Linked DNA regions of Bombyx mori. The protein of the gene in region 3 purifies or fractionates together with the protein of the main gene of each other region. This does not show direct contact. Links are inferred from orthologs where the notes say so. Each region holds a gene or a part of one and is shown on either strand. Other genes may lie near its edges.

The links.
Region 1: the proteins of pre-rRNA 2'-O-ribose RNA methyltransferase FTSJ3 (region 3) and uncharacterized protein LOC101741314 fractionate together in Homo sapiens (co-fractionation; 3 studies listed by BioGRID and IntAct, with this or other methods). This does not show direct contact. The link is inferred for Bombyx mori from reciprocal best matches to the Homo sapiens genes FTSJ3 and NOP2.
Region 2: the proteins of pre-rRNA 2'-O-ribose RNA methyltransferase FTSJ3 (region 3) and ribosome biogenesis regulatory protein homolog purify together in Homo sapiens (affinity purification with mass spectrometry; 3 studies listed by BioGRID and IntAct, counting the BioPlex papers as one, with this or other methods). This does not show direct contact. The link is inferred for Bombyx mori from reciprocal best matches to the Homo sapiens genes FTSJ3 and RRS1.

The regions. Positions count from the first base shown.
Region 1 is NC_085116.1:6,475,113-6,486,689, reverse strand, and holds uncharacterized protein LOC101741314, read right to left. Parts: upstream 7,374-11,577; 5' UTR 7,218-7,373; coding exon 7,118-7,217; intron 6,407-7,117; coding exon 6,230-6,406; intron 5,659-6,229; coding exon 5,480-5,658; intron 5,137-5,479; coding exon 3,772-5,136; intron 3,471-3,771; coding exon 3,265-3,470; intron 2,719-3,264; coding exon 2,370-2,718; 3' UTR 2,275-2,369; downstream 1-2,274. Other genes in the region: coenzyme Q-binding protein COQ10 homolog A, mitochondrial, read left to right, coding at 10,518-10,582, 10,697-10,852, 11,498-11,577. UniProt on the Homo sapiens protein: S-adenosyl-L-methionine-dependent methyltransferase that specifically methylates the C(5) position of cytosine 4447 in 28S rRNA. Required for efficient rRNA processing and 60S ribosomal subunit biogenesis.
Region 2 is NC_085123.1:3,055,724-3,067,300, forward strand, and holds ribosome biogenesis regulatory protein homolog, read left to right. Parts: upstream 1-4,591; 5' UTR 4,592-4,995; coding exon 4,996-5,144; intron 5,145-5,268; coding exon 5,269-5,541; intron 5,542-5,772; coding exon 5,773-5,992; intron 5,993-6,375; coding exon 6,376-6,638; intron 6,639-6,763; coding exon 6,764-6,917; 3' UTR 6,918-6,970; downstream 6,971-11,577. Other genes in the region: DNA excision repair protein ERCC-6, read right to left, coding at 646-3,456. UniProt on the Homo sapiens protein: Involved in ribosomal large subunit assembly. May regulate the localization of the 5S RNP/5S ribonucleoprotein particle to the nucleolus.
Region 3 is NC_085116.1:7,757,589-7,768,131, reverse strand, and holds pre-rRNA 2'-O-ribose RNA methyltransferase FTSJ3, read right to left. Parts: upstream 9,869-10,543; 5' UTR 9,164-9,868; coding exon 9,097-9,163; intron 8,917-9,096; coding exon 8,159-8,916; intron 8,073-8,158; coding exon 7,923-8,072; intron 7,161-7,922; coding exon 7,050-7,160; intron 6,867-7,049; coding exon 6,705-6,866; intron 5,294-6,704; coding exon 5,086-5,293; intron 4,501-5,085; coding exon 4,222-4,500; intron 3,343-4,221; coding exon 3,148-3,342; intron 3,037-3,147; coding exon 2,837-3,036; intron 2,732-2,836; coding exon 2,294-2,731; 3' UTR 2,236-2,293; downstream 1-2,235.

The DNA.
Region 1 (11,577 bases), about 1.3 Mb from region 3:
CTACAAAGCTTAAAATGGGAACACCATGGACACACGATTGTCAGAGATCATCTCAAGCCGTGAGGTGAAAATATCAATTGTTTTAATTGTTTTACGTGTCCATCTAGCATTAAATGGTGGAACTCACGATCATGACAGAACCAACCCCATAAGCCCACCTTGCTTTGGGAATAACGTTCCTATCTTTAGAATCTTCTTCGCGGCAGAAATGGGTGGAACGTTAAAATATTTTTGTTTTTTTTGTAAAGAATTTCCGACGTCATGAAACAACTATATAATGATTTAGAAATTTGATCCTCGTGGCCTAAAAGTTATGACGTCCGGTGCATTCGTGATGCAACGGTGTTCGAATCCCGCAGGCGGGTAGCAATTTTCATAATGATATAGGTACATAGTTAACAATTGTTCCACATTGAAGGAATAATATCGTGTAATAAAAATCAAATTCGGAAAATTATAATTTCGTAATTACTGGTGGTAGGGCCTCTTGTGAGTCTGCACGGGTACGTTCCACTACCCTGGCTATTTCTGCCGTGAAGCAGTAATGCGTTTCGGTTTGAAGGGTGGGCCAGCCGTTGTAACTATACTTGAGACCTTAGGTGGGTGGCGCATTTACGTTGTAGATGTCTATGGGCTGTGACACCAGGTGGGCTGTGACCACTTAACACCAGGTGGGCTGTGAGCTCGTCCACCTATCTAAGCAATAAAAATAAAAAATCAACTTTGAAATCTGTAAGGATGGGAGACCAAATTTAAGTTGTGAAATACAGAATCCATAGACAAAACGTCAATGCCGCTATAAATCTTGACATTTAAGGTCGAAGTATGGAGAGTAGAGGCAAGGGCCCAGTGAGTTTCTCGCCGGATCTTCTCAGTGAGTCGCGTTTCCGATACGGTGGTAGATTCTGCGAAGCACTGCTCTTGCTAGGGCCAGTGTTATCAACACTCCGGATTAAGCCCCGTGAGCTCACCTACATGTTAGGACGAAGCTGAAATAGCCTCTAAAAGTTATCAGCATATATATCATAAAAAAGAGGCAATCAGCACCATCTCCGTGTATTAAAAGTGTTCACTCAAAGTAGCCAATTAAGGTGGCGCCATAGTAACAAGTAGAAAGATTTTAAAAACAGCGTCATAAACTATCGCACTTAACTTCAATCCAGCACACTTGTATGTGCACACTACTATGTGTACAGCTTCCTACACTAGCGCTATTTCGGAGTTTTTCAACAATAACTTGTGTTTTCAACAACAATAAAGTGTTTACAGGTGAACACTTTTCTTGTCCCCTATATGGGATGATGCTTCTTACCTCTACCCTCCATAGGTCGAAAGCACAAGTTTATTTTGTCAAGACTGTTTAACACGTCAAACTCCCAATCAACAATATTTACTATATTTTACTTGCACACAACCCAACTAAGTGCATTCCGGAACCCACAAACCCACAGGCGAAACTGCTTAGTGCCAAAAATATATCAAATAGTGGAAACTAATTACCTACGTGAATTTTACGTTACAGTATGTTGCGTCTCGCCACAAGTAATAATTACACAAATTCATTCATCGTAGACGTTCGTGAAAAGTAACCCAATACGTTGTGGCGTGCTTTAGAAAACAGCTTCATTTTGTTTAGGAGACTGACGAGAGAATATGTTTCTTTATTGCATGTTAAGTTCTAATTATGTTGTCAATTATGTTATATTTTTATTTACTGGTATTGAAACATCTTGTAATTAATTATGAATTAATTTGTATGGAATAAAGAAAGCTTTATTATTATATTATTATTTATTATGTATGTAAGTCTAATTGTTTGATACGTAATGTACGTGCTTCTGTTGTAATAAAAACCTTTTGATAGATTTCAACATAATACGAAGTTTCCTTAGATTCCTCTCAGTTGTGGCAGTGACATGGTTTATCTCAAAAACATGGTGTCGTAGAAAAATAAAACCAAATAACAAAAAATCTGAAATAAAAACAATCTTCAAAAGGAACTTAAAACTGCTGCTGCATTAAAATTGCTACTAACTTTAGTATCATTTAATTACACTATTCACTGGCATACATTTATTTTAAGCCTTTTAAAAATTTACGAAGATTTTCAGGGTTTGTTATTTTAATACGAAATTTGCCATATTTATAGCCATTAGATCAATTTAATATTAGGTGGAGGCATATGAAGTAATATTTCAGTTTTTTTAAGTGTTTAATACCTATTTAAATGTCATAAATTGATATAATTATGCATGTAGAAAGAAAAACCATTACTTATAATAGCAGTAACTTTATTACAATCCAATATAATATGTCAAATAGCACATAAATTCTCACTTTCTTTTATGCTATCCTTACATAAACGTTTATCAAACCTTTCTTTTGATTTTACTGTGATTTTTATTAATTTTACTATGCTTTTTATTTGTTGTCTTCATTGGATTGGAACTGTTAGGTTTGTTTTCATTTGCCTTTTTATTTTTATTTTCAGTCAGACCATTTACTTTTCTGTTTTTACCAAGTTTACTATTTTTCTTTTCATGTTGCTTTCCTTGACCATGTAGTGAGGGTTCTTGCTGCTTTCTTGAGTTTTGCAATTTTTCTGCACTGCCCATTTTACCCTGAACTCTACTATTTGAGTTGTTTAGGTTCTGTGACTGAGGTCCCTTCTTATTTTTATTTTTATTTTTCTTATTGACCGCAGCGTTTCCAGTGGAACTGAAAATAAGGTAACAAAGTTTTCTAGTTGTTTCTATGATTCAATGTTAACACAGTTCGTACTATTCTCTGATATAACATTGGTATACCAGACTTGTAATTTTATAATAAATAAATAAACACTGCTTTAAAAACAACACTTCCCTTAACATCAAGAAGTCGTCGTGACCTTAACGATAAAGTCGTCCGGTGCATTCGTGTTGAGCGATGCACCGGGGTTCGAATCCCAGCCCGGGTACCAATTTTTCTAATGAAATACGTACTCTACAAATATTCACGATTGACTTCCACGGTGAAGGAATAACATCGTGTAATAAAAATCAAACCCGCAAAATTAGAATTTGCGTAATTACTGGTGGTAGGACCTCTTGTGAGTCCGCGCGGGTAGGTACCACCGCCCTGCCTATTTCTGCCGTGAAGTAGTAATGCGTTTCGGTTTGTAGGGCGGGGCAGCCGTTGTAACTATACTGAGACCTCAGAACTGATATATCAAGGCTCGTCCACTCATCTAAGCAATAAAAAAAAAAAACATTAATTGAAAATTACCTTTTTGCATTTTCACCTTTCATTTTCTTTGTTTGTGGCTCAGCTATATTCGACTCTGGCTCCAAAGTTCTTTTCTGGGGGCCACTGACCTTGGAAGTTACATTATTAGAAATGGCATCTGTAGACTGATCTCCTTCGTTTGTGACAACTGTTTCTTCATCTGCACCTTCGGTTTCCTTATCATCATCATCTATAACTGCCTCAGGCTAAAAATAAATAAAAATAAAGTTCACTAAATATGTAAAATGGAACTATTTCTTGAACTACTACTGAGTCACCAATTATACTATACTGATAAGACTATTGTAAAATCTCATTTCTTTTAAATTGATTCTTTCTAGAAGAAATAATAGAAAGCTTTCCCTTCTTTTGAGACATCAATTTCTTATTGGCAAAGTCCCCAGTGTAAATTCATATTAGATGGACTGTAAGACCATTTAGAGTAAAAAACAAATTCAGGTTAATTTAGTAGGTCATTATTACGATGGTACTTCATAAAAAACTTACAATGACATTGGAGAATTTCTTTAATTTAGCGACAAAGAATCCATCCATATTATGTGTGTGAGGATAAAATCTTCTAGTCAATTTTAATGATGGATGGAACCTATGATGCCTGTATTTCATAAAACCTTCAGTTCCAAAATCAAGGCCTGTGGGAACCAATTTCACATTTCGTCTCTTCAATGCGTAATTTACAACCCATTCATTTTCTTCAGGTAAAATAGAACAAGTGGAGTACACAATATACCCGCCCGTACTTGATTTGGCATTACAACAATCAATTGCAGCTAACAATAGCTGCCTCTGCAAATTAAAACACCTTTGTATGTCCTTCTGGTCTTTCGTAGTCTTTACACTGGGATCTTTAGCAATTACCCCAGTACCAGTACATGGTGCGTCAAGCAATACCCTGTCAAACCCTTTAATAACTTCAGGGAATTGTCGACCATCATAATTGCATATAACAGCATTGACTACACCCAATCTGTGGAAATTTCCCACAACTGCTTTTGTTCTTTCTTTGTTTGCATCATTTGCAAATAAGGCACCAGTATTTTTCATTATAGCAGCTATATGTGACGCTTTCCCACCTGGAGCAGCACACATATCTAATATTCTCTCATTTTCTTGAGGGGCTAATGCCATTACTGGTAAAAAACTTGATGCACCTTGTAATATATAGTGACCAGCTAAATACTCAGGCGTTGCACCAATAGGTACTGTGGAACTATAAATAACAAGGCCAACCTTGCTCCATTTGCCAACTGGGTCCAAATTGACTCCTCGATTAATCAATGCCTGGGCTAAATCTCTTCTTCTAGTTTTGAGACTGTTAGTTCTTATCGTCACAGGTCTAGCAATCTCACTTGCTTCCAAAAACTCCACTAATTCTTGTACAGGAAATATTTGCATAAGAACTTCCATCAAAAACTCATTATAACTATAATAGGTACAAAGATCTTTAAGTAATAAGTCTGTGTATTCACATCTTGAACGCCCTTCCTCTTTTAATCTATTAAATTCTGTCAAAACAGAGACTACATCTTTGATCCTTTGTTGTACATCTTGAAGGCTGGTAGGATTCTGTAGCTCTTCTTCTGAAGGGAAAGCAAAAACATCTTGTTTTGATATATTCAATTGCATTTCCTCATCTGCCAATTTCTTTTCCTCCTTTTGTTTCTTCTTCAGCTTCACATTTGCTTTTTCAATAGGCAGCATATCCTCATCATCACCATCCTCATCAGATTCTTCTTCACTTGAATCAGAATTATATCCTGCATTGCCACTATTTACAGATCCTTCTTCTTCTGAACTTGGATCCGCCTCCTCTTCATCAGAATCTTTGAATAGATCATCAAGAGTTCCCACCTACAAGTGTTTAACAAATCAAATTATCTTCTGTGATAAACCATTACTTTATTTTATTGCGTGGACAAGCTCACAGCCCACCTGGTGTTAAGTGGTTACTGGAGCCCATTGACATCTACGACGTAAATGCGCCACCCACCTTGAGATATAAATTCTAAGGTCTCAAGTATAGTTACAACGGCTGCCCCATCCTTCAAACCGAAACACATTACTGCTTCACAACAGAAGTAGGCAGGGTGGTGGTACCTACCCGTGCGGACTCATGAAAGGTTCTACCACCAGTATTATTACAATGTATAGCACTCATTAACTATTTAGGAGAAAGTTGTAAGATTAGTTTTACCTTATACTTTTCACTGACAGTTTTTGTTTCTTCTTCATGCTCACTTTCAGCTTCAGAGTCCTGCTCCATCTCTGAACCCTCATCTTGATCACAAATGTCACTGTCTGAATCTTTTTGTTTTTTCTGTTGTTTAACCTTCTGTTTTGGTTTCAGCCATTCTTTGTTGTCATCAGAGTAACCTGGAATATTACATTAACCATTTTATATTGCTTCATTTGGGTGCATTAACTACACGAATTATAGTTGGAAGTCATCTTCAGACAGCTATGATAGAACACAATAGAATAATAAAGAACAAAGATAAAGAAAAGGAGTACTAAAGGAAAAATACTACAACTGGAGATAGAAGATGGGAAAATAACATAGGTTAGCTGGTACCCTTTGCATTACTCACAATAAGATCATAGAGGTTTAAAAAGCAAGCAACCAAACATTCAAAAACAGGAATTTGAGAAAACCAAGAACTTTTACTGATGGTAGGACCTCTTGTGAGTCCGCACAGGTAGGTACCACTACCCTGCCTATTTCTGCCATGAAGAAGAAATGCTTTGAAGGGTGGGGTGTAGCCTTTGTAACTATACTGAGACCTTAGAACTCATATCTCAAGGTGGGTGGTGGCATTTACGTTGTAGATGTCTATGGGCTTCGGTAACCAATTAACACCAGGTGGGCTATGAGCTCGTCCAGCCATCTATGCAATAAACAAAAACAAAAAAAGATGTATTTTTTTTTTTAATTGGTCAGCTTTACCTTTTACAACTGGTTTTTTAATGTCTTCGTCATTTGTCTCAATTTCTTTAGCTTCATTTTTCTTGCCTTGTTTTATAGCTTTTCTTTTTTCAACTATTTCAGCCTTTTTTTTGGCACGTTTTGCGGCCCTTTGCTTTTGCCTGTGAGTCAGTTTTTTCACCTGATCTTCAGTCTCTACTAAAATAGGAAAACAAAACTATTATGAAAATATAAAGGTTGACATGTGATAAATGAGTCGACTATTATCAAAGCCGGCATTGTGACTTTTGGACAATTATTGGTAAATCAGAAAAACGAATTATTGACTTTGTATTCCATTGGCAGTCAGAAAACTCTTCTGAACGACATCTTAGATAAATAACAGGTTAAGTATTAACCTTTATTTAATGCAGGTTTTGAACCGTATTCTTTGAAGGAGACGATTATATTCATGATTGAAAGTTTACTGGTGGCCCGAAGGCCTTTCCAGTTTCACCAGGACAGGTGGGCGAGCAAAGGCTCAGCCATTATATTCAAATCAATCTGTATTGACATATCAATAACATTTTTTTGTCCAAATGCACAGATTGCCACCTTTGATAATAGACGACTCAAATATACAACATGTGTGTGACAATGTGGACTATAAATGGTCAGTATTTATTGAATAAATAATCCACAATGCTAAAAGCAGTGCTAGGGTAAAAATTGGGGAACTGCCTAATCATTTAAACTAACTATAATTTTGAAATGTTCGTAGTTCGAGAACAAATTGTAGATTTGAATTTTTGGCAGAAAATAACGGGGTGGTGGATAATAATGTCAATTTCTTAGTTATTTTTAAAAATGTAATAAACTTGAAATTAAGATTGTGTTGATTTGTAACAAACGATTATGTGGAATACTCACATAGCTCCTTTCTAAATACTGGATCGGGCTGTTTTTTTGCTTTCCTTCCAGGACCTTTTTTCACTTTTTTCGTCTCATCAAATTTCGCTTTTCTACCCATTTTCGACAACTAATTTTCCACTTCAATTAATTATTAATAACTTGATTATGTACCTACTTGAAAAACACTGCAAAGTTCACACGTGCTGGTAGGTTATATTTTGATTGATACTTTGATACATTCAATTTATTATCTATGGGTTGGTGTCATTTTTACAGATTACCGTAAAATGGGGCGATTAGGGACAAATTCCAACTTTATGAGCAATTTTAAGGTAGTTGTTGATGTATATAATGCTATATCAGGATCAAAATGATTGAGTCTTGGGGGCATTTTTGTTGTCTAATTTAAAATTATGCAACTAGCATTCCAGTTTAAGCAAAAAATGCAAAAATAGGTGTAATCCCTATTTACCCGAAAATTGCGGTTAATTGGGACGAAATGAGAAATTTGCTAGGGTTGGCACTACTTTTATTTTTATATATAGTTTTAATTTATTTATTTATTTAATTGCACCAACAAAGTGATCATCAATAAAAAAAATTGAAAAACTGACAAAAGTACATGGCAGACATCACCTCAATTATTGGTGCAATCGACAGTGCTGATATTTCTATCTGGGTTAAGAGATTAGGTGTGTCGGTTATTCCATGGATTAATCAGATGAATACCCCCACTCTGAACAAATATTAAATATTTTATTAAGTATTACTTAGACATTTTTGTCCACCTTGAGATTTCATTAATCTTGTTACATGTCTCTGCAAAATCAACTTACTTATATTAAATTGCTTATCTATTTCAAATAAAGACTTATTCCCAATTTCGCTTCGAATAAACCAGATTTTTACCAACAAATATAAAAAATATTGTTATAACTACATAGACAACCCTACAAACCTGTACCTATTTATACTTAGGTAGTTTCCATTTCACGTATTCTCATCCCAATTGACCCCTTTTTCGTTGTTATTTGTACCTAAGACGTCCCCAATATCCCCAAAAACAACAGATTTTTACATGTATTTTTATTTAATCAAATACATTAAAACCAATAACAACTGAGACTTACTTTTAATATATATGCTGGTTCAAACACTAAATAACGTTTATAAATCATAGTCGTCTTCTATTATTATCAAATAAATAAAAGAGAGCAAAGTTTCTAGCACTAAAATAATTACCACCACAGGAAGTTAATTTGAAACGCGATTTTTTATAAGTTAGCAGCTATTATCATGCATATTCAGAGTTGTTTTGTGAACTTTCAACATTCTACTATTAAACTACAAAAAATGGAAGATTTTGAAACGAATATAAAACTTATATTGAGCGTCGAAAGATTTTCCCGGTTTTTTCCCGATTCGCCTCTCAATCCCTAATCGCCCCATTTTACCGGTACTTATCCATTCACAGTCACACGTTATATTTCTTTCTATGGTTTATAATTATCAATGCATATTAATATATGGGGCATTAAGCAATAGTTACCGGAACTCAAAATCCCAACCCGTATCATAGTTAAAATGCTACATGCAACAGAAAGTCAAAAACTCAATCATTATATATTGTAAATGGACTAAATAGTAAATCCTGGATGGTAAATCCTACAGAGGACATTGCTGCTCATTCTACGGTAAATGTTTTCTTTTACTTTGATTTCTTAATTTTATTTTCAGTCAGTTTTATTTAACATTTCAAACTACACAACTTTGATCGTTACATCAAAAATTGCCCTTTTGCCCATGGCGCCTATGCAATGAACAAAACAAAAATTATCTATTTGTTTTTTTGTGTAATATCGCATTGGTAGGACTTTTTGATGGGAACGCGAGGAGTAAAGCTGTGTGAACTGTTTTATTTTGATGTGAAACATCTATAGCCACACGTAAAACCGATTTCTGGCGTGGCGACACGTCGCCATGCGCAATCGACTGTGCGATTCTCTCCCACTCGATCCGGCGTTAAGCCATCTCTCTCAGATATCTATAGTGTATACTCCGTAGTGTATACAGTTTTGTTTACTACAGTACCCATAACCTGTGTTTTACTTGAAAACAAATTATTTTTTCGATAGATTTTATTTTATCATTATGACATATTTAGTTCCTATCACAATCTGTTCATTTCTGCATATTAATTTTACCAAATAATGTCGATGTTTCACGTCTGCCAGGCGTCCCGTGACTGCTCACTTTTTTTTTGTTAATTTTGTGTTTCTTCCTGTTTAAACGTATATTAAAAGTGGTTTATTAACTAATTAGAATCTATGAAAGTGCACAAAGTGAGAAAATGTAACAAACTCCCAGGACCTAACGTCTCGGGATCTCTCAAAAAATCTCAGTAAATGACCACTGTTTTACTTGTTTCATTTAATTTCATCCCAATTGATTAATTGGATAACTGAACTTCAGTTTATTTCGCTCCATGATAATATAATTTTTCATATAACACTATTTACAAAGCTTAGGCTGTATGGTGTGATAGTTTCGGTTTTCTAGTTGGAAAAATGGAACTAGGTACTACTACTATTGGATTGCCGAGACTTTTTGAAGTGAAACTTCCTTATCGGCGTTGGAAAAAAATTTACCGTCACATTTTTCGGTTACGCGTCACTTTTTTCCGTTACGCGCCATCTGTTTTGTATTCATGTCTATGATAATAAAATCCTTTTGTTTAAACTTTATCTAATTTAACTTTTTTGTATTCATGTCTATGATAATAAAATCCTTTTGTTTAAACTTTATCTAATTTAACTTTATTTAACCAATTTCTAGAAAGTTGCATGTAGATCATTTTTCGAAAAATAAGGCCATAAACAAGTTTCACTTCTTACGTGTGTACACTAGTACACGCACACATTTTTTATTTGTTTTAATGTGTCTATTTAGTTTTTTTAAGTTAGTAAGCCACCGTACAAATTAATTTGCGTAGCTTCTCGGGATCCTTCAAAAAGCCTACTGAAAAAATCTTAGTAAATAACCACCATTTTACTGAGATTATATATCAACCCATATCATTTCATTTAATTTCATGCCAATTGATTAGTGTTCCAAATCAATCAACTTCATTTCATTTCATTTAATATTATCATTTTTCATAAAATAAATGTTAAGATTAGGCTATATGGTTTGATACTTTTACCTTCCACTTGGAAAAGTAGACTACTACTAGGAAATTTGGCAGTGACAACTGATTATTATTGACGTGACGTCACAATTTAGCAAAACTGACTACACGCGTGAAATAAATTGCAAAGTATTAAATCAATCAGTGTGAGTGCAACTATTCCCTTGAAAATGACTAAATATAAATGTATAAACAGTAATAAATGCTTTAGTCACTATTAGAATTAATACAATGATTATCTCTCAAAGTTGTGCCGTAGGGCGATACATTTTTCGCAAGAAAAATGTAGTTTTCAGGTAACTAACGTTGAGAATTTGTTGTTTATTTTAATTTCTTATTATTTATGAATTTCCAAGAGTTTTCATCGATTACAATAATGCATAACTCTTTTATCTTAAATATTTTCTCAGGAAACTCTTGTCTTCCTATAGTTTTCAGGGTCATTACGTAAATAGACAAGGTAGTGCACTATGTCATTGCCAAGGCATTCAACAACAAAATCGTAGTTTTATAAACCTGCCAATAACAAACAAAACAAGAGTTTATACTGGAAGGCAACTTGTTGGGTGAGTAAAAAAAAATAACAATTAAACTGTTGATAAATTTTAGTCACTGTGATCTTAAGATGGGACACCCACTGTTGTTGTACTCCTAGGGTACTCCGCTGGTACATAGGGTCTTTACAAGTTGTCTCCACTTCACCCCGTCTTGCTCTTCAACATCTAAATATTTCCATAGGTAATTACTGGTGGTAGAGAATATTGTATTGCTAATTTTGCCACAAAGCAATCCTTCTCTCTAATTTAAAAGGTTAAACAACCATTAAAACCAAAAGTGGTATGATTGTGACTGTCTCAAAGTAGCTGTATTCATGTGTTGTTTAAGGTCTCTAGTAATTGCTTAATATTAATTGAAAGGATTTAGAGATGTACTCTTAGATAGACATATTATAATGTAGCTCAATATTTTTATATTCCTTATGATTATTGCTGTTGTCTTTTAGTGAGATCTATAAGGCTACTTGTTTATCCTTATAAATAATGTACAAAAAATTTGTACAATTTAAGTGCCGAACACGTTTTTATATTTAGTATGAACTAATCATAGCTGGATTAATAGCCTAACAGTAAATCATTATCTTTATTTTTGTTTATATCCATTACTGTATACCTTAAAATGGAATCTAGTTTCATATAAATCTATTTTCACAGCTACACAATGGAGCAAATGTTTGAAGTTGTATCAGATGTAGGAAGCTACAACAAATTCCTACCGTGGTGCAAAAAGTCTA
Region 2 (11,577 bases), on a different chromosome or scaffold from region 3:
TTCATGTTTCATTTTATGTACGCACTGAAATACTGTTATATTGTTTTCCTGCGAGTTAAAGTGCTGAGTAAGAACGAGATAGATATATGTTTATGTATGTGCCTTCAAAATGGGTGCTATTTATATAAGCAATTGTACGTATAGAACAATATGTCGTGTCCCTACTATATAGGTCTATGAATTAACTGTATTAAAAGATAACCTAGTAAATCAAGAGCTTTGTGACCTTACTAGATTGAAATCTAATTGATTACTCATCCAATTGGTTTATTTTCATAAAAAAAATTACTTAAAAAACATCATTCATAGAATTTTTGTTACAAACACATCTTCCATAACAGGGTTCCCATCAATCCCCACCATAAAAAACTGACTAACACTAAAAATACAGTTTTTACTATATTTTCAATATAATATCATAGACATTGCTTACACGAAAAAAAAACTGGATTTCCAAATTTTAAATTATAGTATCAAAGTGGCTTCAACAATGACACTTTAGAATACTACAAATTCATTTAACAAGGCAATGAATGAAATTACAGTTTATTTATTATATCAATTAAATTTATTAATCTTATAAATTACTATTTTACTTAGGCGGTAAAATATTGAAATATCACAGATGTAATCATTTTTATTACATTATTTTGATGAAAATTTAACAGCTCTAACCGCATTGCGAGCTCTTTTAGCAGCTTCTTCTTTCAATCTATGTTTTTTTTCTCTTTCAGCTAAACCAACTACCACATCATGTTGTAACGCGTTTTTCACTGCTGCTTTAGCAAAAAGTTTGTTTAACACATAGTCATCATCATTAGTTTGTTTCTTTACTTCATTTTTACTATAATCCTTTTTCTTTACTTTCTTTACAGTTACTAAATTTTTGAGTCCATCATCAATGGAAGATGATAATCTTCTTTTGCGCTTTATTTTATGTGATTTTTTATGCTTTTGTTTAATATCTTTTACAGTACTTTCATTAGTTTCAAGTTGAGAGTTGTCAATGTTGGTAGGTTTCTCTTCATCTACTTCTTTAATATCTTGTTCATTATCTTCTAGTACACTTTTCAACAATTGTTCTTCATAATCTTTCTTTGCATGCATTTTTACAATATCTAATTCTGACAAAACATCTTCAAAAGCTACATTGGTTATTTTATCATCAACTAAATTAATATCTGGTTCTTCCACTTTAGGTGGACATAATAATTGTTCTCTTTTCTTTTTATATTCTTCACGTGGATCACTTTCCTGTGTTCCCTTCATGGATTCTTTTGATATTTTTTTACTTATTTCTTTTGCTAATCTTTTCATGGCTTCTAACTTTGTTTTAGATGAAATATCCAAGTCATTATCATTCTTATTGGTTTTATTGATAATTTTGGTATGTTTAAAAATTGATGCAGTTTCAGTATCTCCTTCACGGTTAAGCTCTTCAAGAGTGAACAGTCCCTGTAATGTACTGGTGGTTAAAAAATTCTTTTGATTTGGGTCCACAAAAATTTTATTACTCAAGAAATGTTTGAATATCTGCCTCTGATAAATCTTTTCCTCTATAGTCCCAGCTGACAACAATCTATAAACTGTTACATTTCTAGACTGGCCTATCCTCCATGCTCTTTCCTTTGCTTGATCATCTGTTGCAGGATTCCAATCAGGATCATATATTATCACTCTGTCGGCTCCAGTTAAATTTACACCTAAGCCACCTACTCTAGTTGTGGAAAGAAAAACTAAATAATCAGTGTTATCATTAAAAGTTTTAATCAAGTTTTGCCTTTGGCCAACATTAACTGTACCATCCATTTTGAGGTATGTAAAGCCTTGATTTTGTAAATACTGTTCTAACAGACACAGCATTACTCTTGACTGAGAGAATATGAGAGCTCTATGTCCCTGTTTTTTCCATATTTTAAGTAATGAATTAACAACAGTCATTTTTCCAGATCTCTTCCAATGGCCAAATATCTCTTCATCTATCTGTTCTTCATCTTCTTGAGCTTCGTAGAGATAAATATCAGGATGATTGCATATTTTCCTTAGCGTTGACAGAGCCACTAGTAGCCTCGCTCTTAATGGATTTCCAAATTTATTTTCTTTGTCTAAGATGCTTCTCACTGTATTACTCATAAGGTAACCCATATAAAGATCTCTTTGCTCTTGTGTTAAAGAACAGAATAGAACTTGTTCATTCTTTTCTGGGAGTTTGATATGTCCTTGTACCTCAGCCTTAGTTCTCCTCAGCATGTAAGGAGTGATCATATTTTTCAAAGCAATAGCTATTTCCATGGCAGTAGCTTCCTGTATTTCAGTAGCATTAGCATAGCCTCCTTGAGTGATTGGAACTGCAAAGTGTTCTATGAATGCATTGTATGTCCCCAACAAACCTGGCCTCATAAAATCAAATAATGACCACAGTTCCTGCAAACTGTTCTGCATTGGTGAGCCTGTTATTAACAATCTGTGTGGTGTCTGGATTTTTTTTACAATTTTACTTACTTGTGTATCAGGATTACGTATTTTGTGTCCTTCATCCAAAATTAAATAATGCCAACTATAAGCATTAAGTTCTTTATGATACTTTACTATGCCTGCATATGTTACTAACAAGATTCCATGAGCACTGTGTATATCCCTTAATAGTTTATGGTGATTACCAGCATGAGAGCCAGTGTGATGCAGTACAGCTACTCTGAGCAGGGGGCACCAATAATGAAAATGAGATACCCATTGATATATAACTGTTGCAGGTGTGATAATGATACTCGGACCAAGACCACCCCATGATCCTAAATTGGTTTTTGAAAGGGCAGTTAGGAATGCAATGACTTGTATTGTTTTACCAAGTCCCATTTCATCACCTAACAATCCACCAGAATCCACTTGATGCAACTCCCAAAGCCATTTAACACCAGTTCTTTGAAATTTATATAACTGTTTCCAAATATATTTTGGTACTAATAGACCATTCTGGAGTTCATGCATTTCATCGCTATCTTTATTACCATCCAGGATGTACTGTATGTCAGCGGTTAACGTGCATCCTTCATATGTACCGCTTTTCACAGTATTTAATCCTTCACGCCAAACCTCTACCCTTAAATTGTATTGTTTAATATCACCGTCGTCAACAATTCGGTTTATATTCTGTTTGGTACGAGAAGAACACGCAGTAAGCGGAAAATTATGGATACTGTCGTCTTCCTCATCGGAAGGTACAAAATCGATGTCATCGAGGTGTCCTTCAGTTGAAGTCCCTGATGTCACAGTAGTTTTTACATCTACTTTTTGATTGTGGGGAAATTTTGACAGAGTCTTTGCCTGTTTTTGCGATATGTAATCAGCAGCAGATTTGCTTTTAGTTGATACATCTTCTTTCTGACTATTTTTCCTCTCAATTTGCTTTTTCGCTAATTCAAGTTGCATTTCTAAATATTTGTTTATGTCCACCATTTGGGTTAGTTTTAGTTCTTGACATTGAAATTCAGTTTATTTAGGTAATGTATTTATTGCTTTTTGTACACAATAATAAACTAAACTCAAATATTAAGTGTTTAATCTTTAATTTAACAAGTTAATCTTACTTAATCTTAAGTTAACAAATCCTACGAGCATTAGAATAATTAAAACATTTATTTTAATTGAAAATGTCAGTTAAGCGATATTTTTCTTTTTTTAGAGTTTATAATGCTACGCTAGTTACGCTACAATTTAAGTGTATAATCTATGGCTACAATCATAGAGCTAGAGTTGAACTTATTAACTCCATGGCTAATATGGCTATAGTACGGTATTCCTTCCTACTCTGCGTCAAGTCGGCTCTACACTCGCGGCGCGAACGCGACAACTGCGAATTCACGAGTGTAGATGTTGTTCACGCCTTCTCGTTCGCGCGTCGCTCCCCGATCTGTGTCGGTTTTATGGCCCGCGACAAAGGGTTTGCGGCACGCGAACGTGAATGTATCCACACTCGCAGCTTACCGCAGTAGCGTACAGGACATCGTAGAGTGGTTATGCGTGCGTTGGTGATTGATCCTAATATAAATGGTGGAATAATGATCTGGAACTGACTCTCATTTATTGCCATAAACCTAAGCCGAAACATCAAGACCACAAAAATGAGAATAAGGTTCATGATGCCTGGACACGCATAAGTGCTATCTTAAATACACCTGTAACTGAGTCAGAGTTAAAGAAAAATAAAGAATCACTTAAGTCGAGCTATAGATTGTATAGAAAGAAAGTGAAGTGTATGTAGAATACACAGCAGCAGCAGAAATCACGTCGTCGTCGATCATAATCGCGAACAAGGCTGAGCTGTGAAGCTTTGTGAGTGTGGAGGGACACAGTTCTGGCGCAGATCATGGTGTTTCTTCACAGTGCGACGTCATACGCGAGTGTTGAGGCAGAGTTACAGATTATTAAAAAGTTACTATGTAACGTTTATGTTTATGTCTTATCTATCATTAAACCTTGGTAGAGGGCTATGCATAATACATTTCGTTTATACTTTATATCACTATACCTGTTCCTGTTTGGACATGCTCCATAATCTTCATTTATTAACTCGCTGGTGATACAAAGGGAACGAAGCCCCTACACCTTTTAGTTACTGTACAGTACAGTGATGCGCGGTAATAGAACTGAATACATAAATATTTATAGATTATAAAATAAAAATGAACTTGAGTTCCATCGTTTCAATATATATGTATGTACATAAAAATTCTAAAATAATTATTCTACGTGCATAGATTATCTACTACAATAAGCTACCAATATGATGACATGTGTTAAATATTTATTATCTATGCCAGAGTTCAAAACGTGGTTGCCCAGAAAACTACGAAATCATAAATATATGTAATTAAATTGTAAAAAAAAAATACATTTTGAGGTTATTTTTCAACAAAAGTAAAGCAAGGAAAATATTAGCTCAAGTCAAATAAGCTTGTTAATTCTAATGTGTAAAAAGGAAGTGTTCTGATAACAATGGATATTGTAAATGAGATATTAGAAAGGGAACAAAAGAAAGCAGATAAATATAAACCAATAACGGTCGAAAAACATTTGGAATTAGAATTCGACCTAGGTTCACTATTGGCCTCTGACACAAACGATTTGGACATAAAAACGCTGAAGTAAGTCTTCATCTTATCTCATTTTAGCAAACGCATAGTCACTATTAATTTCAGGATTAAACATAAATTTAGTTAACAGCACATGTTTTGTTATCAAATTAAATTGATTTTATGTGTTGTTTAGGACAAACAAAGATTCATATTTACTTGCATTGACCCGTGACAATGCTCAGCTACTACTGAATAAAGTATGGGAGCTTCCCACTGAAAGAATCGAAGAGGCCATAGTAGTTCGATTGCCACAACCTACGACAATCCTACCCCGAGCCAAGCCAGTGCCTGTACCTAAGCCATTAACTAAATGGCAAGAGTTCGCAAAAGCCAAGGGTATTAATAAGAAAAAGAAAGACAAACTTCAATGGGATGAACAGCTGCAGAAATGGGTTCCTTTATATGGGTGAGTTTTCAATAGTAGAATAATGAAAGTTGTCTAGAAAACTATAAACACAAACCATAAAAACCTTATTTACAAAAGTTTTTAGGCAGAAATTAAAAATTGATATCATCATTTTAAAATCTGTATTTTATAGTCAAACCAATAGCCAGGATGTTGTAAAACACATTGTCCGTTTATTATTGTCGGCAATCAACTATATCTATAATTGACTATATAATTCTGTATCATCAGTTTCAAGAAAACTGCAGCTGAAAAAGAGAAGAACTGGCTTATAGAAGTCCCACAGAATTTAGATCCTATGACAGATATGTATGAAAAGAAAGCCGGTGAAAAATCAGAAAAGGTTGCAAAGAATGAATTACAGAGACTTAAGAATCTCGCTAGAGCCAAAAAGGTTAAAATACCAAGGGTGGGGCTTCCTGTCACTTCAGATAAAGCTTCTGCCACACAGGTAGGATCAAGTAGAAAAATATATATTGTACTGAATTATAATTTTTCCTTTTTCAGTTTCAAATTAGACATCTTATACAATGATAATAGTATACTTTAATAAATACATGTCTAATTCAATGAAAGGACAATTTTCCTTTTTCTATTCTAGATGATCTCAAAGTAGCATACCTGATCTTTCTTACAGCCAAGCAGCATTTGCTGTTTGTAATTAAGTTAGAATTAGATATACTACAACTTTTTAACTGTTGCAATTTTATTGCTAAACTATTACATTCATCTTGTTTTGCTTATCCATTACATTATTGTTTAAAGATAATAATTTAAATGATTTTATAAATATATGAATGCATAAATCTACAATTATTTTTCATAATTTTCCAGTTATCCACAGCAGCAAGTGTAGCAAAAGCATCAACGGCTTCTCTTGGAAAATTCCAAGATAAATTACCCAAAGAGAAAGAAGCACGCGGTAAAGGTGTACATGAGCTAATCCCAGGCAAGGAGAGGAAACGTAAAGCACCTATACCAACACCGGCAGCAGAAAAAGAATACAACCTGAATCTACTTGATAATATACTGAGTAAGAGGCCAAAAATTGATATGGATAAAGCTGTAGCGAAAAGTATAAATGAAGAGGAAGTCAAGTAAGTAAATTATTTTTATTTTATTGTAAATTTGAAAATGATATAATCAGAATTTTTTTTTTAAAGTTTTTATTTTATTACTTCGAAGTAAATGAGCTGATTTCTATTGTTTGTATTATCATTAGGAGATCACACGAAAAGAAAAATATGAAACCCGGCTTAGGAAAACGTAAAACTCAAGGTAAAGGCAATGCAACAAATTTCTCAGCCAAGAAACCTAAAGCAGGAAAGGGAAAAAGGGCACCAAATAAGAAATCTACTGGACGGAAAAGGAGATAGAACTATGATATAAGCCTTACAGAATGTATTACTAATAAAAACTAAAATACTGACACTTGTTTTTTTGTTTTCCTTAACTATTAATAAAACCCTTAAAAATGAGGCGTTCATTGTTTTAAATCGAAAAATATGTTTGGTTTTGAACGTAACAAGAGTGAAGTCGTCGTGGCCTAAAAGAACAAGGTGTCTCCAATACTCTCGTATCGAGTGATTCTCGTCGAAACTGTCGCTTGCGGCGCAGGGCTAGGCGAGTAAATTAACCCACAGACACAAGTCACAGAGTTTCTCGTCGGATCTTTTCGCGTCGCGGGTCGTTTCCGGGTCGCGTTTCCGATCCGGCGGTAGGTTCTGCGAAGCACTGTTCTGCACTGAGTGATGCGACTATGCCAGTGTTCGAGTCCCGCAGGCATGTACAAATTTTTCTGATGAAATAGTTACGTACTAACCTAACAAATGTTCATGAATGCTTCACGATGAAGGAATATCATCGTGTAATAAAAATGAAACCAGTTTGTGTAATTACTGGTGTGAGGCCGTCTTGTAAGCCCGCACGGGTAGGTATCACCATCCTACCTTGGTTTGGAAGGTAGGGTAGCCGTTGTACTTAAAAATTGAGACTTCGAATACATGTCCAAGGTGGGTGACCGCATTTACATGCGTAATGTCTATGAGCTCCGGTGACCACTTAACACCGGGTGGGCCGTGAGTCCATCCATCCAACTTAGCAATAAAAGAAATTAAAAAAAAGCCAATTTCGAGGTATCTACTATACTAATATTATAAAGCTGAAGAGTTTGTTTGTTTGTTTGAACGCGCTAATCTCAGGAACTACTAGTCCGATTTGATAAATTATTTCAGTGTCAGATAGCCCATTTATTGAGGAAGGCTATAGGCTATACGCTAAGACCAATACAAACGGAATACCAATAAAGAATGTTTCTAAATCGTTTTTTTCTTTCTACGTAAATGAAGTCGCAGGTAAAATTTCGATGCCTCCAATGAACACTACGCTAACTCTAAATTCATAGATTTACAGGAGGAGCGTTTAAACGAAAAAAGTCGATAAAATCTTTATTATTGCAGATATATTTATGGTTTTTTTGTGTAACTAGCTGATTTACTCTTGCTTCGAACCCCATCAATAATGATTAATTGTAATACTTTTAAAATAGTGAAGCGATTTGCGTGAAAAACGAAAATTTCAAAATTTTCAGTTAGAGTAGTGTTCATTGGAGGCATCGAATTTTAGCGTTGTGGCAAAGTAACTATTCCACGCGGACGAAGTCGCGGACAAAAGCTAGTTTGGTATGAAATTCATTAATATAGAAAGAGTCAGGATATTGTTTTTATTTCTCTAGACAGTTTCGAAGACTATCCGACTTAGTTTTAGGCCAATACTGGAGCCCGCACTCTACACAACTTCAACTATCGGTCTTGAGCCGTAAATCCGTAATTCAATCTGTCATCTACATTACTTTACTGGCATGTAACTAAATTTAATTATAATCTAACAAAGACAGCACCTCCAAAATTACCTTGTTTGGCCAACCATACACATTTAATAAAATAAAAGTCTGTATTTTTTCTATTGCTTTAATTACATTTGTTTCTATGGAATTTGACTAGACACTAACGAAGAATTAAAAATCTTCACAATCAACATTTAGAAGGAGAAGGTAAAATTTGTAATACTGTAAATCAGTTTATAACCTACATAATTCGTCGTTAAGCGTACCTACTTATCTACATCAAATTCTAATTATAATAAAGTTTATTAATGGAAGCTTCTAATGTTTAGCTACTTACTACAAACCCGTGTTTTCAAATCTTTTGGACAGTCATAATAAACTATAACATAACTCATAATAAAAATGGAATCGCGTAATTAGTCTACCGGTCTTAGCGGTTCATAGAGGTTCATAGAGTTCACAGATTAAGGTTATGAAGGTACATACAGACAACTTCGTAGTTTCTTTTTCTCAAAAGTAAATTGTCAATTCCCCAACTTGATTAAGTTACATTTAATTTACCAGCTGCTGGTAAGACATTGGTTCAGAGCCCGCCAGATTTATTGTTAGTGCCCTGTCTGTTTCTACCGAAAACCAATCATGTATTCATGAAAAGCGTCATGAGGTCAATGCAAATAGGGAATTGTCACGGAATCTTAGTTCTATTGAACAAAAAAAGTCGGACTTAGCAACACAAATACGTAGCTTGTATTGGATCCTGCAGAAATGTAGATGATCTTTCAAACTGTCTGTACCTACTTCTGATTTTTCTCGACTTTATTTTGTTGATGAAAATTCATCTCTATTAAACCCTATTAATAAACATGTCCAAAATATTTAAAAACATTATAATATTATAAATTTGTACAATAATTTCTATATGTAATAACTAGTATTGCTATTCTTTTCACTACAACTATTTTCACTATAGATAAGCGATCGTCACAAAATAGGATTTTTGTTTATAACTATGATAATAATTTATATTAAAATGTTATAGAATTAACTAGTTTCGATTAGATCAGAATCGGTAAATAAGAAGGCAGCACTATTTAGCATGCATCGGTTTAATGTAAAACACTAATTTAAAAAAATTGGTCAATTTTTTTTTTATTTTTATTAGACGCTAATATGTAACTTTACATAGTGTTTTGGGATGTTGGCAGGGGTTATGGCAATGGCAGGACGACTAAGCGAGCGTCGCTAGGGTGTCGGTAGATGTCACTAAGCGACTAAAGTCTCCCTAAATATTATAGGTTTTAAATATACATTAAAAGCCACAGTGATACAGACAAAGCCACAGAACGTAATAATAATCAGATAAATTTAATACAATAACTGATTTCTATTAAGTCTCTCAATAATTACACCTGTAATAGGGCGATTGATTTTCACATCAATTCATACACAATAATAACCATTCGAAAAATTACTGTTCAAGGGTCATGAGTTATTACTTCACTAAAATGACACGTTAACACTAAACATACCTTAACGGGTCAAATGACCCATTTTGAACTTTTGCATTGAAAATGCACATTTTACTTCATGACTTTTTCTTATCTACAGTTATTGTACATTATTTTTTTGTTTTGTTTATTTTGAGTAATACTTGTCGTATGCCGTTATCTACCCGGTATGGTAGACATAGGTACCAGTAAGTGTTGGTATGATTAGTGATAGTGGTATGATACGTGTCGTTTATAGTTTATTTGGTAAATGAACAGAAAAGGGTGGAAAACGACGAAAACAAAACAAACATGATATCGCACATACGGTGCTACAAACAAAGTCACTTATGCAATTTTTGTTAAAACTGAACTGAGTATGAGAAAATACATTTTTTAATAGTTATTAGTGAGACGAGATAGATTTTTGCTTTTACTGATGAAGTTTGTAGTTCATTTTATTTCTATAGCCTAGCAGAATTATATAATACGATGTTGAATTTTCCAACGTTTCTCCTGAAAAAAATACATAATTTACATAAGTGACGTTATCGCACGTATGTATATAAACACTAACATAATAGTTATACTAAATAAGACGCGACAACTAAACCGTCTTCAAACCGACACATATAAAACTTTGCAGCTCCAATAAGAGTTGTTCGCTTACCGATTTTCATTTAATCTGATATTTATAGTAAACTTACAGTAGAGGAAGTAATTCATACAATAGGAATGTTCGAATTGAAATTATTGGCACATTACGATTTCACACAACCTTGAAGACCTAAATATAGATTAACTAAAAATTTGTAAACTTAACTAACTTTAAAATATACAGAACCATAAAGTAATAAAGTTAAATTAAAACTTTTAACTTTTAAACTTAAATGCTATGAGATCGTATCGATTTAAATTTAATACAATTTTAATATAATTACACACGGTGTAAATATATTACTAATAATAATTATACAATTTAGAAAATGAAAATATGTAGATTAAGTTTGTGTTGCACATTACGAACCCTGTTTTAATTTTATGTTTAATTTCGTTTTTAGTAAACTATTCTGGAATTGTTTTTTTACTAAATGGAATATACGAGTATATATTTTTAAAAATGGAACGTGGGTATTGGCTGGCTTGACGATTAATTGCCTTTGCTTTTCAAAACAATACTGACTAGTGTCCACGCATTACAAAACGAATACCCTCGATTCTATTATCAACGGTAGCGTAAAGCGCTTTATTCACGTTCCATCTTGCTGTCAATCATCGAACGCACGGGCCAGAAATTAACGACATCTCTGGAATCGAGGGAAATCACCTACATTGACGGCGATGGGTTGTCATTTTAAGAATCGAATTTTACTCCAATTCTCTCGATTGTTGCCAAAATATCCGTTTGTTGTCGGACAAATAACCAGCTCGTAGGGCAGCTAAAAGCGGGCTAAATAATAGGTCTTTACTTATGAAGTTGCCGTTTTACAATACTGGACATTTGAAATTTAATTTAAGTATGGCTGCCAATAAATTCTCAATTCCAATGAATTTTATTTAAAAAATATGAAATTCAATTTTCGAATTCAATCATTTGTATATTGCTTAGGGTTTGACAAAAAAACGAGTTCCGTCGCGGTAGTAATGCCGAACAAACGGTTCACAACATTTAATGACGTGTACGGAATGAGCACTACGAATGAA
Region 3 (10,543 bases):
TTAAGAATGTATAATAATACATAATACGGTAAGTTTTCATAATAGAGATTTTCTTTTTATTGCTTAGATGGGTGGACGAGCTCACAGCCCACCTGGTGTTAAGTGGTTACCGGAGCCCATAGATATCTACAAGGTAAATGCCGCCACCTACCTTGAGATATGAGTTCTAAGGTCTCAGTATAGTTACAACGGCTGCCCTACCCTTCAAACCGAAACGCATTACTGCTTGACGGCAGAAACAGGCAGGGTGGTGGTACCTACCCGTGCGGACTCACAAGAGGACCTACCACCAGTAATTACACAAATTATAATTTTGCGGGTTTAATTTTTATTACGCAATGCTATTCCTTTACTGTGGAAGTCAATCGTGAACATTTGTTAAGTACATATTTCTTAGAAAAATTATTACCCGTTTGAGATTCGAACACCGGTGCATCGCTCAACACAAATGCACCGGACGTCTTATCCTTTAGGCCACAACTACTTTCGAATATACTAATAATAATATTAGTATATTCGAAATATATTGAAATATAATTAGGCATATAAATGCGAACTAGCCGTACTCGTCCGCTTCGCTGGGCATTTAAATTAACCATTATTATTTATTGTCATTATTATTAGGGAGTCCAACACTCATAAATATTAGCCTATCCATTAAGTACATGTATTTTCTACATGGATACCAAGTTTTAAGTCAATCGGATGCATGGTTCAGTAGTTATAACGGAACATCCGTAAAAACCACTGTAGATTTATATATCCATATATTAATACGTGAAGGATAAACTTTGTATCCTTTTTACGAAAATAGCGTGGACGGAGGAGCATGAAATTTCTCACACTTAGAGAGCTATAGAGAAGGAGTGCAGAATGTTAATATTTTTTTAAATTATGCCTAAATAATACATTAAATCAATAAAAGAAACATGACACATACTACCACGTACCATGTACTCTTCGTTCATTGTCAAACTTTAGTTATTGTTCCAAGTCTGTGGTCAAATTGAGAATAGATTAATATTTTTTGTCTATTATGTAGCCTTCGCGAAACCTGTGATTATAGGAAGTAAAATAATAGTCTTTATAACTTATAATTTCAATTAATTATAGTCGAAATTCGACTACCGGGGCACCCCTAGTTAGTATAGATATGCTAATATTATTAAGATATTTTGTTGATATGTAGTAAAGTGGTCGGGATTGGGCGGCAGAGGGCACGGAACGGTCGGTAGCGCGTCGGCGGCGAGCGGCCTTGGCCGTGATCGTGCGCTCGATATAGCGCTGCCGACCCTCCGTTTGCCTCCATATAACACCCCCTCAAGGCCTCCAAACTCATCCCATGTTACAATTTCTGTTCTTCTTCGCTCTCTTCCATTTTTAAGAAAAACTTTTAATAAAGACCGTGAAAATTAATTTCCAAAGTAAAACAGAACAGAGCCTATTTACCGGTGAATAACTATTCAATGTTGTAGTTTAAAACCAGAACTAAACATGTCAGCAAATAATTTCAATATATTTATTAATAATTTTCCACAGAATATCGGTAAAGGTCATGACTGGGAAGTAACGAGAAATTATTTAACCGTCTGCTGGCGGGAAGGTTATTTTGTTTTATTGTGCACACTAAAACAATGGGTATAAAATTATATTTGTTGATACGAATCAATCCTTCGCAAAATCACTAAAGAACATTAGTAGGCAGACGGCGTAGTTGGAACGAATCAGAATTAGACACCAAGGCCACAAAACGAAATGATATCATTTATATAGCATGTCTGTCCCTGAACTCGCCGCCGAATGACGCACGTGGATTCGAATATCAACCCTGACCTTAGTAGTAAAAATAATCTCTGTAATGCTAGCTAATGGGTCTAGCCACCCTGATACAATTACCAAGGGTCAACATAAATCAATCTACATTAAATTGACATAATTCATCCAGCACTAAAGTAAATTGATAACACCCTATATGTATTAAAGAGGGTGTAGAGAAATGTTCCCAAAAACGATAGGTAACAGGTAATAGGTGTTGGTGAATGAAAATCGATAGCTAAAAATAATTGTTAAATAGTTTAAAATTTTATGCAATACATAATGAGCGTTACGTCCTTTACATTGGGTCCAGAAATTAGATTGGGCACGTAAATGATCATTCTATTTACGTTAAGGTGTGTGTTACTGCTACCGTTTCGGCCTTCGAGATTAGTTTCGAGGTTCAGAATAAAAAATCAATTAAATAATAATAAATTTATAAAAGAAACTTTTATTTCTGTTTTAACAACACAAGTGATCACTTTGCTTTTCCTTTCTTTTTGGGGACTTTTTTAGGCTTGTTTTGTTTCTTGGGTTGTTTTTTACCTCGACCTTTTGTTTTCTCCTTTGCCTTTTGGGCACGTAAGTCCTTTTTCATGCGCGGATCTACCACTTTGTACTGGCCCTTAACGCCCTGTGGTCTCTTCATACGCTTAGCAGTTGTATGTTTCTTGGCCACCACATAAGTGATTTTCTTTTTACCATCAGATTGTGCCTTCTTGTAAAGTTGTCTCACTTGTTGTGCTTTCTCTCGCTCGGACATATCAGCGTTCTCCATTACCGCCTCGACTTTTTTCTTTGCACGTTCCATCTTTTTGATCAAGCGCTTCTTCTTCCGCGCTTTGGCTTCAATCACCTTCTTGATAGGCCTCACATTGATGTCTTGTAATCTATTCTTGTATTCATCAGTATACTTCTGTAATAAAATAAAATGATGAATTTTAATGTACATGTTTGTCATCATGTTTTGATATACATATTTACTTGCACAAATTATTTAAGTATATCCATTATTGCTCACCTCCGGTATCACAATGTCTTTCTTCATATGTTTCTTTTCATCTTCCATAAACCAATCTGGTAAGTTTTTATCGTTAAACGCGTATCTATTCCACGCGTCATCAATTAAATCCCTCTTGAATTTTTTTGATGTAGCTATCATGGTTCCTAAAGCAAGTGTCTCTGCGTCCATTTTCAAAGTTTTCTTTAGTTTTTTCAGTTCTGTAAATAAATTTGAAGCTGATTGAACACAATTTTAACAGACAATTCAGTATCCTCGTTTATTTGATGAGAATTTTCTTTATGCAATTTAAAAAATCTTGCTTAGCTTACCTGGATCTTGGGAGACAACTTCAAAACCTTCTTTGCCGGCTTTTGGCCCAGCACTAGAAGCACTGGGAGTAACGTTTTCTTCAACATCATAATCACTGTCAGAGGAATCATCATCTGAACTCTCGTTGTCTGACAATTTTCTTTTTAGTGCACTGGTTTGTTTACTTGACTCCACATCTTCAATGACTTTCTTCCCTATGTAAAATCACACACTTAACTCAGATTAACTCTCAAAACATATTTTTCTTGTCTACAAAGGGCTTTCGGAAAAGAAAAGACGCTATTCAATCACTTAAAAATTGTTTGTATTTAGAACACGACATTGAGAGATTACTGGTGGTAGGACCTCTTGTGAGTCCTGTGTGTGTGTGAGGGTAGTTACCACCACCCCGCTTATTTCGGCCGTGAAGCAGTAATGCATTTCGGTTTGAAGGGTGGGGCAGCCGTTGTAACTATATTGAGACCATAGAACTCATATCTCAAGGTGGGTGGCAGCATTTACGTTATAGATGTCTATGGATTCCGTTAACCACTTAACACCAGGCGGGCTATGAGCTCGGCCAGCCATATATGCAACAAAAAAATGGTGAAAGGCCATTTGATTTAAGCGACATTTCGCTTAATACGCTATATTTATTTTGTAAATAAACGTGGGTTTTATTTGGTATTAGCATCAACAATACGATGTTTTTAATTGAACTTCAATTCAGTTTACTTCACTCAAATAGCTAAAGAAGTTGTTTTATTTTATTATATTTTTCCTAAATTTTAAACTTTAAATGGCTCTCCTATAAAGATGCAAAAATATCGCTTAAACCCAAGAGCCTTTCACCCTTCCATTTGCTCATTATATCACCGTAAGTCTTGAGAGCTCTGAAAGCCTGTCCATTACTCTCTACTGCTGCCTCTATAGATAAGCATGTAAAATAATAAAAGGCACAAAAAAAATAAATTAACTCTTCAGTAATGACTATTGACACCGGTCATACTCGGCACTCTGAATATTTTATTTAGTCTATAAGTCACAGCAGTTATGTCATAAATAGTCTATCTGTAAATAGCTTTTACACTGACCTTTTTCCTTGAATGTTTCTGTTAACTTGTCCAAATCTATACCTTCATCAGCTTCTTCATCAATATTTTTAAAAGAATCTTTCTCGAACCATAGCTGAGCTTTCATAGTCCTTTTCGAAACTGGGTCAGTGTTGTCCAGATCAGTGAGCAACGGGTTATTCTTTGGAATAGACTGTAATCTATTCAATTTGTTTGCTGGACTCACTTTACTGTTTTTTAGAGTATTCAATTTAGTTAATTTTTTGATCTTTTTCGATTCAGTGTCTGAGTCTGAGAAGGCTGTAAAAATGTAATAAGTAAATGAATAGTTCTTAGATATGAAACTGGGTTCAAAGAATGTTACAATGATAATAGTTTGTCTGAGTTTTCTTTGGAGGATAGAGGTATGGCATATCCCCGGTACCTCCAACTTTTTTTGTTAATTTACCTTTACACATCTGTAGTAGATTTCATAATACATTTTTTAGAATACTACCGATAATACCAGTAGTACAACGCCGAATAAGAATACTATTTAGACATCGATTCCAAACCACCACCAAATAAAATTCTAAAGTAAAAATTAAAGTATCTTCTTTGTCTCCATCTTATCTCACTAGGTGGGGTCGGCACAACGAATTTTTCTATTCCATTCTCTTGTATCAGCCGTCATATCAACACTCACTTCTCTCTCTCTCCCATATCGTCATTCACACGGTCGGCCTCTTCCCCCTCTACCCTGCACTACCAAACATCTCCTAGTAACGTGCATCTCCTCTGTACGCACCACATGTCCATACCACGCTAATCGTAAAAATAAAAGTCTAAATAAATAAACAAAGATATCTGTAATAAAATTATGGCACAGTGTTAAAAATAATTTACCTAATGACTCTTTTTCCTGTTCAGATTCTGAATCAGATTCCATTTCAATTTCACTGTCTGAATCTTTGTAATAAAGTCCTGATGAATCGAGCTTGGTTTCCTCAACATCGTATTTCAAGTACTTTGGCTTAAGTTGAATCTCATCATCAAAAGCATCATCTCCATCAACCACGGTGTCAGGCTGCTGATCTATAAGCGTGTTCAGTTCCTAGACAATAAAAAAATTCATATAATATATTTTTAATAGGTTGTGAATTGTTAACTACATCATTTTCATAAGTACAGAAGGCATGTTGCAGCTTAACGCTCTTTTATATGAATCGTGGAATTCCTCGAAATTGCACGCAGCGTTACGCTCCCCGACAACTGAAGCAGTTTATCTGTATTTCTTCTTTCCTACGTTGTTATACGAACGTTTTTCATACATTTGTTGATGCTATTCTAAGTATAAATGTATATAATATGATTTACTTAGTGAAAAATATTATTATTTTATTTTATACTATTTTAAATTTTTATCTTGAGTGATAAAAAATCTGAAAATGAAGCAACAAGAAAAAGCATTTAACAAGAAACGAAAATGCAAATGAGGGTGAACGTAAATCTCAAATTGTTGCTGCATTAAATTTGGAATTTTTCTTAAGACTGAAAATTAAAAATACAGAACAGACTGAATGATCTGAAATTTAAACATATTGAGTTAGAATTTCATTAATTATATGCTATTTTTTATTGCTTTTGATGGGTGGATGAGCCCACATGGTGTTAAGTGTTTACCGGAGACCACAGACATCTACAACTAAATAGCGCCACCTACTTTTAACAGTCTTACGTCTCACTTTTAACAGTACAACGGCTGCCCCGCCCTTTAAACCGAAACGAATTACTGCTTTACGGCAGAAATAGGCAGGGTCGTGATTTTCACTGGTGGTAGGACTTCTTGGGCGTCCGCACGGGTAGGTACCACCACCCCGCCTATTTTCGCCGTGAAGCAGCAATGCGTTTCGGTTCGAAGGGTGGGGTAGCCGTTGTAACTATACTTGAGACCTTAGAACTGTATCTCGCGGTGGGTGGCGCATTTACGTTGTAGATGTCTATGGGCTCCAGTAACTTAACACCAGGTGGGCTGTGAGCTAGTCCACGGATCTAAGAAAAAAAAAAAAAAAAATCTACCCATGCGGACTCACAAGAGATCCTACCACCAGTATATGTATATTATACTCATTTATTATATTTCTATTATAGTAAGAAATAAATGTTTGTTTTACTGTTATACAAATATTATTAATGAATAATATAATATTATTTAATAAAATAATTAATAATTTTAACGGTTAAATACCTGACCAATTCTGTACAATTTTCCCCTAACCCCATTATTTCTATGATGAGATAGTCTCGTTTAACAGTTTTGTATTACACTAAACTTTGATGGAACTTACACCCTGCATTAAGCAGGGTCTTACTATAGATACTTGTTTGTTAGTGAGACATTTAATTTACATTACTACAATTTTTTTGTTAAATGTTAACACTTAATAACTTATACACTTGATGAGATGCACCAAATTGGTTCTGAATTTAACATGTAGTTATAGTAAGTAGTTAAAAAAACATACCTCTGCATTCTTGATATCAGAGAGTTGAAACATATCATTACTTTCCAAAATAGGACCATCATCTCCTTTCAATACCATCTTAAGATTCATTTTTTCAGCTAGTTTTTGTCTCTGTTTATTCAACTGCTTCCTTTTACGTTTCAATTGTCGCTTCTCTTCATCCTGGAATATTTTATTAAATTTGGACTATTATTTTACCCCTGTTCATAATAATAAGTGACAATGGAAAATGCTTTTGTCTTTTATTTTAATGTGGTATTAATTTACTTTTTAAATCAACAAAAGATTCCTTAGCAAAAGTCACAGATCATACATAGTATAGTATAAACAGTCCCAATCTAGTACCTGCAGTTCTGCAATTTGTGTGTCCACATCACCTTCTTCAGTATCAGCATCCTCATTTGTTTCATGTTCTTCGTTTTCATCATTGGTTTGGGGCTCATCATCTTTTTTCTCCTAAAATAAGTTTTAGTTTTTAATCTTTAGTGCTTTCAATACTCTATTGCTAGCTCTTAAATTACCTAGTGTTAAGTGGTTAAAGTAGTTTATCAAACACCACAATGTATACGGCCACATCCACTTTGGGACATTTGTTTATTGTCATAGTATATATTCAACAAGCTACATTTGTATTACTCAATACTTTGGAAGTTGTTCGTAGATGTTAACTGCTTTTGTAGACAGAATACCATAAGCATATAACCATACCTTGGGAACAGGCAAGTTGCTTCTTACTGTATTCATTTAGAAGGTACACCTTAACTACATTTTACAAACTTTGTATAGTATAGTATGTATATACTTGATAAAATACTACAAACTACAAACATAATTAGAACCTACAAATATTCCCAATAACAAGCATCCCTCTTTGAGTTCACTCCCAAAGCTAACTTCCTAGATGAGCAGGGATAGTGTTAATAAAATCTCTCCACCTACAGACAAAATAAAACTACAGGGGACTTGAGGACATTGATTTGCAAAGAGCTGCTCCTTTACTATACACCATAGACATATTACTTGATTTGAGTGTACATTCAATGATGTACTAATTTAAGATGCAAATGAAAAACAGTTTCTTATTCATAATCAAATCCTCGTGACAGAGTTTTTTACCCACCAAAATACAAATGTCTGAGAGGTATCCCCATGTAATAAGTATAATAAGCCTCTGTAAGCAAAAATTTAATTTGTGATTATATCCTATAAAATTCTAACCTTAGACGATTTATATTCTTTCATTTGCTTGAACCATGACAGCAGTGATTTTAAGTCTTTTCGTCCAAGCACCTTAATATCCTTACAACATTCCTTTATTTCTGGTGTTGTCTTTGGATGAGTTTCTATTTCCTTATCATCGAAAACAATCTGCAACATTATTGAAAGTAGTTATGTAATTATTTAAAAAAACATAGTAAAACAATTAAATGGCAATAATCAAATTTTCATTTTACCTCAGAGCAACCATGAAGTAGATCTACTGGATCATCTTTTCCCAAAAAATCAGACAGTTTTACTTTATGATGTGTGGTATAATCATTTTCTTTATATCCTTCTGCTTTTGCTTTTTTTTGTTTCTCAGGATGTAATATATTTATATGCTGTTTTTTAACTATATCAAGATCTTCAAAGACATGTTTGGGGTCGAGAAATTTAGGATCAATTGTATCTGGTGCAATATAGCCCTGACATACAACGAAAATTTCAGAAGACTCATTACGAGAAGCTTGGGGCTTTGTAGCATGTACTTTTTTGAAGAATTGTTTCAGAACCCATAAAAGTGCATGATAGTCTTTCGATCTGAATACTTTAGTCACAAACCAACCACCTTCTCTGAGGAAGTTCGTTGCAAGTTTTAAAGCACTCAACGTTAGACAAGCTTGTTGATAGGCATCATGGATCCAATTAAGACCGACATTGGGTGCACCGTCATTAAGTACCACATCAGCTTTCCATGTTTTTATTTCTTTTTTGATTGCTGCCTTACATTTTTCTGTAGTGATATCTTCAGTCAGACCTATACAACCTGGAACTGGTTTTATTGGAAACAAATCGACTCCTATTACTATGCTCGAGACTGGCATATTTTGGTGGGCCACCTGCATCCACCCACCAGGTGCAGCACATAAATCGATACATACTCGTGATTTCTGCAAAAATCCAAATTTCCTGTTCAATTGTATTAATTTGAATGCAGCTCTTGATCTATATCCTGAAAGAAGTATACATTTTTCGATATAAATATACGTTCTAATAAATATATATACACCTACATCGCCGCCCTATATCTGAACTAATCAGTAGATGTACATATTAAAAGTATTTCGGTTTAATCAGATGAATTATCAAAGTAATTAGATGTTATAAATGATGCAAATTAAAAATGATGTACCTGTTTCTTTAGCTAGTTGGTAGTATTTATCTTTCCGTTGTTTTCCTACTTTTGTTTTCTTTCCCATTGTAGTATGTTACTTTTTTAAGCATATGACTTCTGGGGTTATTTCTAAAAACAATTGATTATAATCAATTACATGACAAAATTGAATGCAATATGCACATTACGAGTGTGTGTACAAGTGAGGTTATGTTTATTTTCTCGTGTTTCATACCATAGAGTTTTTTTTTTCAATTATGTGCTGCACGAACATACAATCATTCAAGTCATTAAGTTAAAATCGGCTTTTTTTACATTTGATGTACCTGAAGAAAATTTTATGGATTGTTCAACTAATTGTAATAATGCAAGTAGCTGGGTCTGCGGAGGGACTTCGGTTCCCTCTGTATTTTATACCGTATGTTCCATGGGGAGTGCTCTGAGGAATTGTTTGAGATGATACCAGCATCTCGTTTTTACCATCGCACCGCCCGCCACCGGAGTAGAGTTCATCCATACTACCTGGAGCCGCTGCGGTCATCCACAGTGCGTTTCCAGAGATCTTTTTTGCCACGTACCATCCGGCTATGGAATGAGCTCCCCTCCACGGTGTTTCCCGAGCGCTATGACATGTCCTTCTTCAAACGAGGCTTGTGGAGAGTATTAAGCGGTAGGCAGCGACTTGGCTCTGCCCCTTGCATTGCTGAAGTCCATGGGCGACGGTAACCACTCACCATCAGGTGGGCCGTATGCCCGTCTGCCTACAAAGGCAATAAAAAAAAATAAAAAAAAAAGTAGCGTAGAGAGCATACCAAAAAATATTTATAGATGGTCGACCGCAGGTGAATGAAGTTAGCCCCTCAAAAAAAATTTTTTTTCCTATTTTATACTTATTTTCTATTAATTCGTTTGTTCATCATTTGTTCATGATTGTTCACTGTTAATAATTTTTTGTTCTGCATTTATTTATTTAAAAAAAATATTTAAAAATATACCTACAAGTTAGCCCCTCTAATGCAATTTTTAATATTTTTTCATCCTTAATGACTCGTAAATATTCATTTTCGATTGTTCTTATATAAAACACGTTTGTTCTCTTTCGAAATTACTCGTTTTTTGTTTAATTTACTATTTTTATTAGTTGAATAAATGTATGCAAAATATGTGTACTGCGCATGTGTCAACTATAATGCCTAAACTTTCTACGCGGTTTTAATCGTGAAAAAAAAAACAAATATAAATCCTGAAGGAGCAATTAATTGGTATACAATTTAATTAAAAAAATTAAAAAATAAATAAATGAAATAATGTGCATTGGCGTTAAGTTAGACCAAATAAATTTTTTCCATCCTCCTACTTATCGTTATGAAGGTATAAAAAAGATAGGGAGTTCACATAGGTAATATAAACAAATAAGTAAATATGTTCATTATTTATCTTTCAAGAGATAATATAGGTATACATT